Caenorhabditis elegans: one gene and its partner. The protein of the gene in region 2 interacts with the protein of the main gene of each other region in a pairwise test. Each region holds a gene or a part of one and is shown on either strand. Other genes may lie near its edges.

What was found.
Region 1: the proteins of glo-3 (region 2) and ccz-1 interact in a two-hybrid assay, tested with the Caenorhabditis elegans proteins (one study listed by BioGRID).

What each region holds. Positions count from the first base shown.
Region 1 is NC_003283.11:13,676,987-13,682,418, reverse strand, and holds ccz-1 (Vacuolar fusion protein CCZ1 homolog), read right to left. Parts: upstream 3,545-5,432; 5' UTR 3,544-3,544; coding exon 3,459-3,543; intron 3,413-3,458; coding exon 3,303-3,412; intron 3,254-3,302; coding exon 2,943-3,253; intron 2,901-2,942; coding exon 2,335-2,900; intron 2,172-2,334; exon of another isoform or gene 2,022-2,171; intron 1,636-2,021; coding exon 1,512-1,635; intron 1,455-1,511; coding exon 1,187-1,454; intron 1,139-1,186; coding exon 1,016-1,138; 3' UTR 880-1,015; downstream 1-879. Other genes in the region: tag-65 (CID domain-containing protein), read left to right, coding at 3,837-3,936, 3,992-4,131, 4,175-4,315, 4,366-4,517, 4,565-4,917, 4,967-5,241, 5,291-5,415.
Region 2 is NC_003284.9:10,530,580-10,537,843, reverse strand, and holds glo-3 (Gut granule LOss), read right to left. Parts: upstream 4,146-7,264; 5' UTR 4,060-4,145; coding exon 3,991-4,059; intron 3,943-3,990; coding exon 3,846-3,942; intron 3,801-3,845; coding exon 3,593-3,800; intron 3,549-3,592; coding exon 3,388-3,548; exon of another isoform or gene 3,180-3,387; coding exon 3,071-3,179; intron 3,024-3,070; coding exon 2,876-3,023; intron 2,828-2,875; coding exon 2,649-2,827; intron 2,601-2,648; coding exon 2,474-2,600; intron 1,658-2,473; coding exon 1,487-1,657; intron 1,442-1,486; coding exon 1,258-1,441; intron 1,209-1,257; coding exon 1,089-1,208; intron 1,032-1,088; coding exon 928-1,031; intron 877-927; coding exon 730-876; 3' UTR 713-729; downstream 1-712. Other genes in the region: F59F5.3 (Protein kinase domain-containing protein), read left to right, coding at 1-159, 204-316, 362-467, 513-617; slcf-1 (MFS domain-containing protein), read right to left, coding at 5,591-5,802, 5,863-5,988, 6,035-6,158, 6,391-6,472, 6,521-6,636, 6,688-6,816, 6,862-7,013, 7,064-7,204 and 1 more.

The DNA.
Region 1 (5,432 bases), on a different chromosome or scaffold from region 2:
AACTCATTGGGACACGAGCGAAAGTTTTCAGTAACAGGAACCGACAGAGATGTTCTTTTTTTGTTTTTTGGTTTGGTTTTTGAATTTTTGGGTTTTTGAAAAAAAAAGGTTTTTTTTTGTTTTTTGGTCAAACAATTTTGGTGGCATCCCTGGTACATATGTACCTGATTGTGAGAGTGTTTTGCTCAATTTCATCAATTATATTCTTGTCTTACTCGGATTTTTGGGTGTTTTCATGGAAAGGCCACAAATTTGTTGAGTGACATTTTTAATTAAAAATTTACAGTACTAGAGGGTACGGTAGCTGAAAACTTTCGCTCGTGGCGAGACGAAATCTCACTTGGGCAAAAGAAAATCTCATTCAAAAAGAGGGTAAATGAAGGTCCCCGAGAGTCAATATCGAGAGAGCAATAAATTCGTTTTCCCTTCAATATGCTCACCTGCCCCTCCATCTCATTGCCTTCTTGCCTCTTTAAGAAACTCCACCCACTTTATTTCTTGGTGGTTCTCTTCTCAGACCTCCCTTATAAAATGTACATGCATTTGTCACCTTGACGACACATATACATATAAACATCAGAAATATATATATAAATTTTTGGCAAGAAGTCATGAGAGTGCGGGGGGGGGGGGGAAATTTCAAAAGTCAATTGGATTATTAAAATGAAAAGCTTTTTGCTGAAGAGAGAAGAAAAAGAAGAAATTTGAAGAAAATGTCGAAAATCGTGTGGAAAAAGAGCAAAGGAGCCGTCGGAGTGGTCGAGGGGGAGCATGATCAGATCTTTTGACTAAATCTAATTTTCAGCATCAAAGGGCACTCATCCGATTTTCGAAATTCCCCGGCAGTATATGTGGAGCCCAACATGTTTCTCATGTTCTAAAATTGAAAAGCTTTATATAAATATAGATCTGTAGAAAAAATTGAATAAGATATAAAAGTACAAGGCAACGGAATTGAATTATAGGCAAATATCACAAAATTTTGGCACACATGCATGGGAAAATATGAATATTATCAACTAAAAAATATGGCTTCGAAATGGGATCGAACAATTGTTGCAGTTTTTGATTGGACATCGGCAAGGGATGATGTGTAGTTGGATGGAGGAATGATTAAGACAAGGAGGCGAGAATTAACCTGAAAAATAAAAACATTGAATTTTGTTTTTGCCAAGAATGTTGTTACCTTTTTGATAACAATCCACCAATCACTTGAAGATTTGACGAAACATTCACCAAATTCTTCAGTTTCCGACACAAAATTGCTCATTGTATCACATACTAAACGATTAACATCAACTGGTGGCAGTGGTACTTTTAATGTTGAATTAGATCCAGAAGCGGCAACGGGAAGCTTCGGAGATGTTGAAAGGCTTGAGGTCATGGATAACGATGATGGATTGAAGTAAATGTAATGGAAATCTGGAGCTTCCGGGAACTTTTCGTCGCCGATTCTGAAATTAATGGAATTTAATGGAATTTATTGTGATATAATGTAAGTTTGAACTTACTCGTCACCAATTTTACTCGCTACTTGTGAAAGTTCGGTTTCCAAAAACTGATCAATATTTCGAAGAAGTCGACGACTGACAACACCATTCTGTGAAGGAGTGGCGCGAGATGATTGAGATGATTCTGGAAAAGAAAATAAGTCGGAAAAAGATTTATTTTGTTTAAAGGTGGAGTTCGGAAAATGTAGATATTACCTTAAAAGTAGTTTAATGTGCCGAAATATCACATAAGAAAGATGAGAAAAATCCACCAAATTTGGAAAAAATCTGATTTTGATGAAAATTCAACTTTTGCTAATCCCTTTATTTGAATTACCACGCTTTTGTCTCTAAACTCCGCCCATAGAACCGTGCCGCACTTCGACTTTTTTTTTCAATTTCGACACGAATTCTTCTTTTTTGTGTTTCTTGACTAATTTTTAATGAAGAAAAATTCAAAAATGTTCAAAAATATTTTTCCTATTTCAAAAGCATTTAGAAATCATTTTTAAAAACGTTTCCTTGTGTTTAGAATTTCAGGAACATGTACTTTTTTCGGGTTCGATACGATTTTTTAATTCTTTTGATATACAAAAAAATATATTTGATCATTTATGCCATTTTTCTATATTAAGAATAAAAAAACAACACAAAAAGACAAATTTGCGGTACAATTGCAAAAAAACGAGGCGCGGCACGGTTCTACGGGTGGATTTTAGATACAAAAGAGCGGCAATTCAAATTAGCAGATTAGCAAGAGTTGAAAATCGCTTTTTTATTTTCAATTTATTCTCAAAACGTAATAAGAACGTTTCGTTTCGAAAAACTATTTTTAAAAACTCACCAGAATCCCTTCTGATTTCTAATCCACCATTTGCTGGACAATTTCTGACAAACATGCAAACTGTTGCATTTAGACATCGATAAACGATCATCTGGTATCCGATGAGTTCTTCTTGAAATTCAGTTCCTTGATCGGAATGCAAATGAACTACAGAAAGTGACTCATCACCGAGCAACGGAGCATCTGTTGTTAAATCTGTTGGTCCTCGTAGATATCTTCCTTTTGAAGCATTTCTTCCAGAATGTTCAAGTTCTGGAGCCAATGTTGTTGGAAGCAAATTATGTGTCAAATAATGAAATAGTGATGGAAGATCGCGTTTCGAAAGTTGATAGTAGAGAAGTTTATCTTGATACAAGAACATTATTTTCTCGATAACTTGGAATTCTTCACGAAGTTCGGAAAGTAAAGAAACAACGTTCAAGTAGAGAGGACCAGACATTCGTAGAAATTCGACGCCTCCAAGATGATCAAGTAGTGGCATTTTGTGAACTTTCAGTAGTGGGATGTACTTGGAGAAGAAAAAATCAAGGCGTTCTTTGAATTTTGGAATGTCGTCGGGAACATTTCTGAAAGATATTTTTATTTTTATAAACTAGACTTTAACTTACTTGATAAAAGAAGAAAAAGTTCCAAAAAACATTCGAAACATTTTGTAGGCATCGGAAAGTATACTCCTAATCGCTGGTTGAAATAGAGGATAATCAGAAACCAATGATAATTGTTTAGAAATTGATACTCCAAGAATAAATTGATCGTCTTCTGTACGAATATAAACGTGCTCTGTTCTCTGCGTCGTCACAGTTCGGAAATCGAAACCATCTTCATTTTCACTAATTCTTTCACTGATTTCCCGACGGGAGGTGCTCAAGAAATTTTCTGTAAAGTTAACAACGGCTTCTGCGAATCCTGTTATTTCGGTCTGAAATTAATACAGTTATTAGAATAAAAAGTATTACGATATTGAAAACCTGTCTCTCTAATTGCTCGCCTTTCGGATGAAAATACATCACACGATTATGTTCTTCGCCTTCTTTTCGTCCTGATAATGGATGCGCCACGAAAAAGAATTCAAGGACATCTGTAAAAACATAATTATTTCGTTTTTTTAATTAAAATTCAATTACCAATGAATCTGACCACATTAGAGCAGGATGGCGGGTTTAATGACAAGTTGGAGAAGAAATACAATGGATTTGCAATCGACTCCATTCTGAAAAAAGCAAAATATATGTTTTGTACCGTGCAGTGTTAAAATTAAAATTAAAAATAAAATAAAATAAAAGAGAGAAAAAGAGTGTGTGAGACTAGGAGGGTAGCAGACATAAATGATTGACGCAAACGTTGTTCACTGACGCAAAACTTGATCACTGGCGCATGTCTCGATTTATTTTTTAAATCCTCCGCAAATTTTCTGCAAAACCATGCAGAATATATATATTGTTTATTTGTCACAAGAAAGAGATAAAATATTTGATCATATAAACATATAACTTTTAGACGACATGAATGAAAATTCTAGCTGGAGAGGTGGCAGTAGCTCTCAGCACGGTCAATCATGGCGCAGTGGCGATATTCCACTCCCTAGGGACTTCCCTCCACCAGGTTTGAATCTTTTAAACGTTTCAAGATTGTAAATCATTAATTTTTGACTTTTCAGAACGGCAGTCGATTCCTTCTCTGATGGATCCACCAGAGATTGTCGAATGGCGCAAGAAAATCGATGAGTTACGTCAAAAGATTATCGACAGTGAGCAGAATTTGAACGCTCACAGAAATGGAATGGACGAGCTCCTAATGGTGTGTTTTGCAAACATACAATCTTGTATCCACGTTTATCCAGGCACATCTTAAATCTGCTATTCGAACTTCTGAAACAATGAAAATTGAGAAGATGTTGAGTCAGAATAATCTGAACGTGGAAGATCTCAATTCCTATTTAGATGCAATGGCTACACCGAAATGCTCTAAAGATTTGATTTCAGTAAGTAATTTTTCAAAAAATAAAGAAATTTGACGAAAAATTTTCTTCAGCAAGCGAAAAAGTGGATTTTCGAATACTGCACAAGCGATCAGCTGAGAGAAATAATACTGTCTTTTCTGTTAAATAAAGTTAAAGATGAAGCATCTGGAGAATATCTACGACTTCATATTCTATATTTAATCAATGATTGGGCATTTCATTGGTAAGCTTAGAATACTGAACAAAACGTCGTTAAATACCAAATTTCAGTCAAAGAAAAAAAGAAGAAAATCAAATGAAAATGCTGGCTCGATACGTTCCAAAAATGTATGCATATTGTATAGAACTTTCTTCGTCGAGTGAGTTGAGCAACAAGTTAGAAGGAAAGCTTTTAGGAGAATGGGAAGGTCGACAATATTTCGCTGATTCTGTATTCAAACAACTCAGGAATACAGTTCAAATTGTTAGCACTGACAGAGAAATTGAAAAATCATCTTATGGAACAATTCGGGAGTCGATTCGAAGTAATCTGATGGCAACGTTTGATGGATATGAACAACAGCATGTCACATATTCCCAGCATATTCAAAGACAAATTGACGAAGTTGAGAGAAAAATTGATGGTGAGAAATAGAAATTTAGTCTGAAAATTTTAAAAATTGGTTCTTACAGAGTTTCGTCATGGGCCATCATCCGGACCTGCATCGCATCATCCTAATGCTCCACTGTCAAACATGAGAAGATCAAGATTTGATCAAGCTCCAAAACATTCAGCTGAACGACCACACGCTTCTGTTTCGAACACATGGAATCAAAATGACCAGCAGGACGATGGAGAAGATATTGATGGAATGCCGTTTGATGAGGAAAATTTGAAGCCACAGAAATCGTATATGGCTTTACCGGCTGGAATTATGACTCCACTAGTTTCGATGAATAGTGTCATGGTATGTTATGATCCGATATTTTGTCAATTTATATTTTATTTGATTCAAGTATGAACCATTGGACCCAGAAGAACTTGAAATGCCAGCATCAGTTCCACCGTCATCAAGACTACTTGCTGCTAAGAATATGTTCCACAAAGGTGTCGAAATGGATATTGCTTTGGCCGATGGAGCGTACGTTCTCAAAATCA
Region 2 (7,264 bases):
TGTAAAATCACAGATTTTGAACGTGCTAAGAAAGGAGAAACAACTCGTAAAATAAGTATTGAGAAGAAGATCAAAGAAATTCTAAAGGCACATATGTCAAAAGATATACCTAAAGAATATCCAAATGAATGCTTGAAAGGAGTGTATTATTATTATTCGGTCAGTTTTTCACGTTTATTTTTCCAAAAGTATGTTTGTTTCAGTCTGAGGTGTATTGTTTTGGAAGACTTATGTTGTGCTTGTTTTCATTCATGAAGCCTTGCGACTATGGACGAATTTATCCACCTATTCAACCTGAAAACTGTCCGAAAGCAATGTATGATTGTGTTTTATCGAATCACGTTTCAATCAATACATTTAGATACGACTTAATTGTGGATTGCATAAATGAGAACAGAAAAAGTCGTCCGTCAATTTCAAGCTGTAAAGATGTTCTTAGTACTGTACTAAAACATATGGACCATGACGTAAAATGTTTATTCACGCAACGTTCCTGATTGAGACTTTTTCAGGAATTCTTAAAATTGAAGCAAACGCTTATTGATGAAGTAAATCGGAATATTGTGGAAGAGCATTTCGTTTCTCAGTATACACAAACGTCTCATCTCTTTTTGTAAAAAGAGCTCTCGTATTATTTGATAATCAAACATATCTCAATCCATCAGTATGATCATCAATATGTCATAATTTTGAGCAATAAAAACAAATATACTTGTAAATATAAATTATTTATTTTAACTGTTTTAACACGCATTCCAACAACTTATTCGTTTGCTTTTCGGCGAGATTTTTATTCATATATTCTGGGAAAACAGCTGTCATTCTGATATTTGAACGACATTCGGTAGATTTCTGATTCAAATTTGGTAGATTGAACTGAAAAGTTTGGTGTTTGAGATAAAATGCATAGTTTGATAATGGACTCACATGAAATATCATAAACTTTTCTCCAGAGTTCCGAAGATAATCACAACTGAATCGATTTGCACTTTTTAGCTGTCGAATCCAGTTTACATTTTCTTTGTATTCATCTAAAAAGGACCAATTTTGATAAAGGTTGTTAATTTAAAGTTTTATTTTAAAGTTACCTGAGATGTATGTAATTTCTTGTTTCAAATCGTCAAACTGTATTCGATAAGCATACATTTCTAAGAAAAACTCTGATGGTTTCAAAAACTTTTCTAATTTATCCTCTTGTTCTTTTGAACCTGGAAATGTTTTGAAAGTGTGTGGAGGTTGTTGGAAAAATTGAATTACCTATTCCTAAAGAATCAACGGCTTTGACTGAGTTCGGTTTTACAGTTTTTTCCAAGCACTGATTGAATAGAGGGAGTGTAGATAGTTTCGCATTAGCAATACTTATAGAACACAGCTCTTGTATCAATGAATTAATTTGCTTTTTTCCGTAGGAAAGTAGAATATCCATTTTTTGAGTCATCGTCTGAATAAAAGTTTTGAAACTGAACCTAATCCACAATAAATTTACCTTGTCGTCCATGGTTATTCTGGTAAACACCGACGAACTAAGTGACATTGTCGAAAGGGCACTTCTCCAAGAACTTATTGAAAATCTTGATTCCGATCTAGGTTTCTGAGTTGGTGTTGCTGAGTGCCTGTTGATTTGAAGTACCTCCGTCTCGATTTGATTCCATATAGACTAAAAATGGTTAATGAAAGCTTTCTTTTTGCACATCTACGGGAAAAGATGAAACCTTGCAACTCGATTAATTCAGCAGTGATTTCAAAGCCTATAGTTTTCAAAATAAAATTAATTTTGTTAAAACACTATTGTACCACAATATTTCGCCAATCACTGTTTTAACGTGGAACTTGTTTCTGTTTGAAGAAATGCTAGATCAGTGGTGCGCGGCCATTGCCGACCGGCAATTCTATAAAATAAGACGGTTGGGCATGTTCCGCCGATAATTCCATTAAAACTCAATAAAACAATATAAAAATATATTTGCTTTATTTGAAAATGATTTTTCTTTGACTTGGAACAACCGAGAAAGTGTTCAAAAATTGTCGAAATGTTGAAAATTTCCGGTGAAAATTGCAGTCAATTTTTCGGCAATTTTCACCAGCAATTTTCAACATTCAGACTATTTTTGAATATTTTTCCAATTTCCTCAACTAAAATTACATTTATTTTAAAATAAAGCAAATATTTTTCTATGTTGTATCATTAAATATTATAGAAAAATATTGGGGGAACATGCCCAACCGTCTCATTTTGTACAATTGCAGGTCGGCAAAAGCCACCCCTTTGCTAAATTATACATAACAAATACAGTTTTTAAAATTAAAGTTGTTATTGTTGATTGTGCTTGTTTAGAACTATTCTGCAACAGTTCACGCAATTACCTACGAATCAAGGTGCATGATGTTGTTGAGAAACAAATTCATTCAATGAGATAATGCCAACTACACTGTGTTATCTATTTTGACCTTTTCTATTTCCAAATCAACATACCTTGAAAAACGAAGATGCCCTTAATGGATTTCTCATGAATGCAGCACAGTATGTGTCGGGAAGCGGTTTTCTACTGAGAAGTAGTATGTGAATATCATTAATTGTTTTGCGGACTTCTTTCAAATCTCTAAAAATATATTTTCTCAGCTTTCACACGTTTTTATTCTGAACAAACCTATTCAGATCTTGACTTATTCTGAGCTGATCCAACTGTTTTGAGAACAAATATAAGTATCTGATCAATGTGTTTTCTGACGATTCCACGAGACAGACTAATGTCATGTTTTTGAAAACTGTCGCACTGATAACATTGACATAATATGGAATTAGGCCTGTCGTTGATCGAAGCCAAAACTGAATCAGAGAACGTGTTATAAAGGAAAGTGTACAAACTATGCAAACCTGCTCAATCTTAGTGTTTGCATCACATTTCGACGTGTTTGATACAATGTTTAGTAGATCGTTTGTGTTGAGCCCTTTCAAAACGTCATCGTTACCTTCAACAGAGTTGTAAGTAGCAATGATGTCACCCTTAGAAAGTAACAGACATCTGAAAAACATTGTTTTTTTTATTCAATAAACACAAGAAAAAATTACCTATTGTTGTCAACAAACACGTTCAATTGAGAAGAAATTTTATGAAACGTATCCTTCAACTTGGCTATTTTGTCGAAGTAAAATAATTTTCGTCGGATATCAATGAATGCTGAAACAGAAAACCCGTTATTAACGCAAAAAGCGAATAAGTACTAAACCAAATCCTTAAAATAGTTAGTTTTTCTTTGTGACCAACGACATTTGAACTTTATTCTGCTACCAACGTCTTTCTAGTGCAGAAAATTACAAAACAAGCGTATTCAGTTTTGTTGATACACAATAAACTACTAGTAGTGTAAACCATAATCAAAACTAACATTTTGGGCTGTATGACAATTTTCGCGTCAATGCACAGGCAAGATGCTCTTTCGGTTTCTTTACGGTCGTGAGATCAGTGTGACAAAAAGCAATTAATGGACCAAATAACGTCGCTATTGTATGTTCGATTGTTTGAGAGACTTCGATTCGCTTGCGATCGCTGAAATGTTAACATTTGAGAGTAAATATTTTTTGAAAACTCACTCATTGGCAAACACCAACACTAGATAATTGTGATAAAACTTTGAAATTGATATTGTTCCAAATTGTGAAGACATCTCAGTGATGGGATCTTTTGTTTTTTCACTCGTCGACCTGTACAGAAGTATTAAGGGGAGAAGAATATGTGAAATTTCAGATGAATTAAATACAACATTAGGCTTCTTGAAGTGATCTAACGATGATTCTTGTTCTGAAAAATCATATTGGCACTGACAATTGAATGCTATCCACTCACCTTCTGTACACGTAGAACTTCCAACTCCACTTGATGCAGAATCTAGGTCAGATTTTCTGCTTGTAATTTCAGATTGAATTAAGCTTTGAAAAATAGTCTGAAGTGCGTTTTATTCAAACATGATCAGTTTAAATTTTCCACATACCTTGAATTCTTCATTCCCATCAAGAAAAACAATTGAATTTTGTTCATTAACAACAACATAACCAAACATTTTGAACGAGTTTACCTGGAAAAAATGCATTATTTGCGAGTAGCGGGCGGAAAAGGTGAAGAGTCGCTACAAGCTTATCAAATATCAAATTCAATCAAACTCAAATTTTTGTTAAGAGTACAGACTCTTTATCGCGTAACCACGGTAAGTATTATTAAATAGTTCAGTTTCACATGCCGATCATGCCCACGCTGAATCAAACCCAAATTGAATCTTGTGATGTAAGTTTTTTAATTTTAAGAATAACGAATTTGGACTAAAGTTGAGCATAAAATGTTGTTTAATACAAAACGTTATTTGACGCATATTTTTACGAATCAATGAACTTGCCGTTTTAAGCTTTATATTTACTATAGTCTCGCTGTCAGGATTACATGTCAGATCGTTCTTCAATTGGTATATTTAAGAACAACACTAAAAGTGTTCTCTATTTTCTTTTATTTTCGTATTGTAATGAAATTTTTCGGTAATTGTTTTCCGGAAAATCGGCTAATCAGCAAATTACAGGAATTGAAAAGAAGCCCATTCCTGAGCTACAATGTAATTCTTGATTAGACATTTTGAAAACAAAAAGTTCAAAGCAATTAGAGAAACGTTATAACTAATCTTATTTACTTGTTTCCTTATTCAATACATCTATTCAATACAAATAATTGTTGAATTCAAAAATACTTTATAGTTTGTGGAACTTTCCATGTAACTAGGATTGTTCTTTATCATATTGCGCCTTCCATTCCAGACAGATGGATCAATAATTTTATTCTGGCTGCATACCACTTGAGATCAAAAAACACAAAATTAATAATAAATGCGTAAAAACTGGTAAAAAGAAAGACACTTCTATCGTTATAAGAAAAAAAAATTCAATTCAATCTAAAAAAGACAGAAAAATAAAGAATAAAAAGGGACAGGCATGATTATGACTTATCAATTGGTTTGCTACTAGTACCAGCGATACCAGACAAATATATGAATCAATAAGACAAAACATCGATAATTGTGCGGGAGAAAAGAGACAAGTGCTCAAGAAAGGTAACGAGATGTGTAGTTTGAGTGGACATTGTCATCATTGTCTTTGTCTTATTAACTCATTGTTGATAACAAAACACATGACGACTATATTTTGTTTTTGTGACTTCTGCAAGTATTTAACTCATGCTTCTTGACACTTCCGGGACCTATAATTCCTTTTTCCCCAGCACATATCACAGGTTTGTTTTACAACTTTGTACAATACAATAAATGCTTATAATTTCAACATTATCAGGAAATAGACGAAAGAGAATATTGCGTCAATAAGAAAAGAACCATAGTAATAGAGTCGAAGAGACAAAAACCAATACCGAAACACAAATAGTCATTTTCTTCTCTAACAACTATTTTAGCGTTGACTTTTCAACTTTGAACGCATTTTCTCACATCATCGATTGATAAGAGTGACTTGATACGATACGGTTGCTTGTGACGTTTTAATCTGGAATATTAATAGAGATAAGCAACTCGCACAGAAGGCAAAGTGAATTATATGTACTTATGAATTTTCCACAGAAGTGATGTTGGTTAGGGCATTTAACTCTGATGAATGCTTCATTTGTTTCATCGATGGCTTTCTCTTGTGTTTTTCCCTAGCCATAAGAACAGATGACGTGGCAATTGACATGACTATCGCTGCAAGCCCAAGCCAAATAGAAACGAAAAATGCACTTCTTGCGTGGTCACCAGTTGTTCCTTTGCTTGCAAATCCTGAAAAATTGTGACCGATTAGATTTGAAAACTTGGATAATAAAATTGATGGCGGCAAACCTGAAATCCACACGCCGGAAATAATAGATACTCCGTTGATCAAATTGGTAAAGCCAAGTGCATATGCAAGTTGAGAAGGTCCAACGAGAGCCACCAAAAACGGTGCTAAACAAGCTTGGTAGAGTCCTGAAATGAAATTTTATATGGAAGTACAAAAAACGTTGTTAGTTACCAATTCCAATGCCAGCAAAAGCATTTTGAAGTCTAAATTGCCAGAATTTGTAGCAGAAAGCTGCAGCAGAAAGTGATAACTGAGCTATCACGTAACTCAAAATCATAATTATTCCATTGTGTACCTAGAAAAAAATGGTAAAATAAGATGTATGTGACTTATAGCTCTGCGTCTAGAAAATGGAATGATCGAAAAAAAAAAGAGCGAACTATTTTTTAAATCTCATAGTTCCTCATGCAAAAACGATATTGGCTTGGTACGTAGAGATGCAAGACTGATAGAGAAAATACGGTATATCACATTTTTGAAATAAAAACTACTGAATTACTTACAATTTGAAATCAAACTCAACTTACTTTATTCAAGCTCATTACAAATGTTAGAACAAACTTTCCAGCTATACTGGTCAATCCCTGATATCCATAGAGAATTTCCTTACTGAAAGTCAGGTTTTTATGTATTATACAGTTGAAAATAATAACTTACTCTTCTATATTTTCTGACTCCATCAATATCAAAATGTTGGCAATGTAAATGAACATCACTGATGATGCGAAGAAGCATGCAATTAAGTGCAAGTCGAACTCTAATTTCTTGCATACCTAAAAAAACGTAGCATTATTAAATTAATTAAAAAACTGAAGAAAGTGTACTTTAAAAGCAGATCCAAATGAAAAAGTGCTTGTTTGTTCTGATGGCGGCTTGGTGATAAAGAGACCCATAATTGCAGATACAATGTAGAAAAGGGATAAAAACCACCAGGCTGGACCCCAGCTGTTATACTGCAAAAAATGTTATACTTTGTTATAATATTGTCTAGACTGTACCTTAACCATTATAAACTTCAATGTTCTAGGAAGAATGAATATTCCCAGTCCTGGACCGATTGAGATGGCAGCCATAACAGTGTTTCGCTTTTTTTTGAAATATTCACATTGAATGGAAATAATCGAATTTCTCATCAACCCACACCCAATTCCTAAACAATTGAACATTAGAATATCTTTTTTTTTTCTCCAAAGCTTTTACCCATTCCAAATGTTGCAAGCATTAAAAGATAAATGTTTTTACAAAATGGACCAACGACGAAACTGCCACCAGTCAAAAAAGAGCCAGCAATAATACTGATTCTAGCTCCTGATCGTTGATAAAATATTGAGCAGAATGGTCCTGAAAATGAAGTTAATCAGCTTTCCTTTCACTGAATTATACAAACCCAATATAAGACTG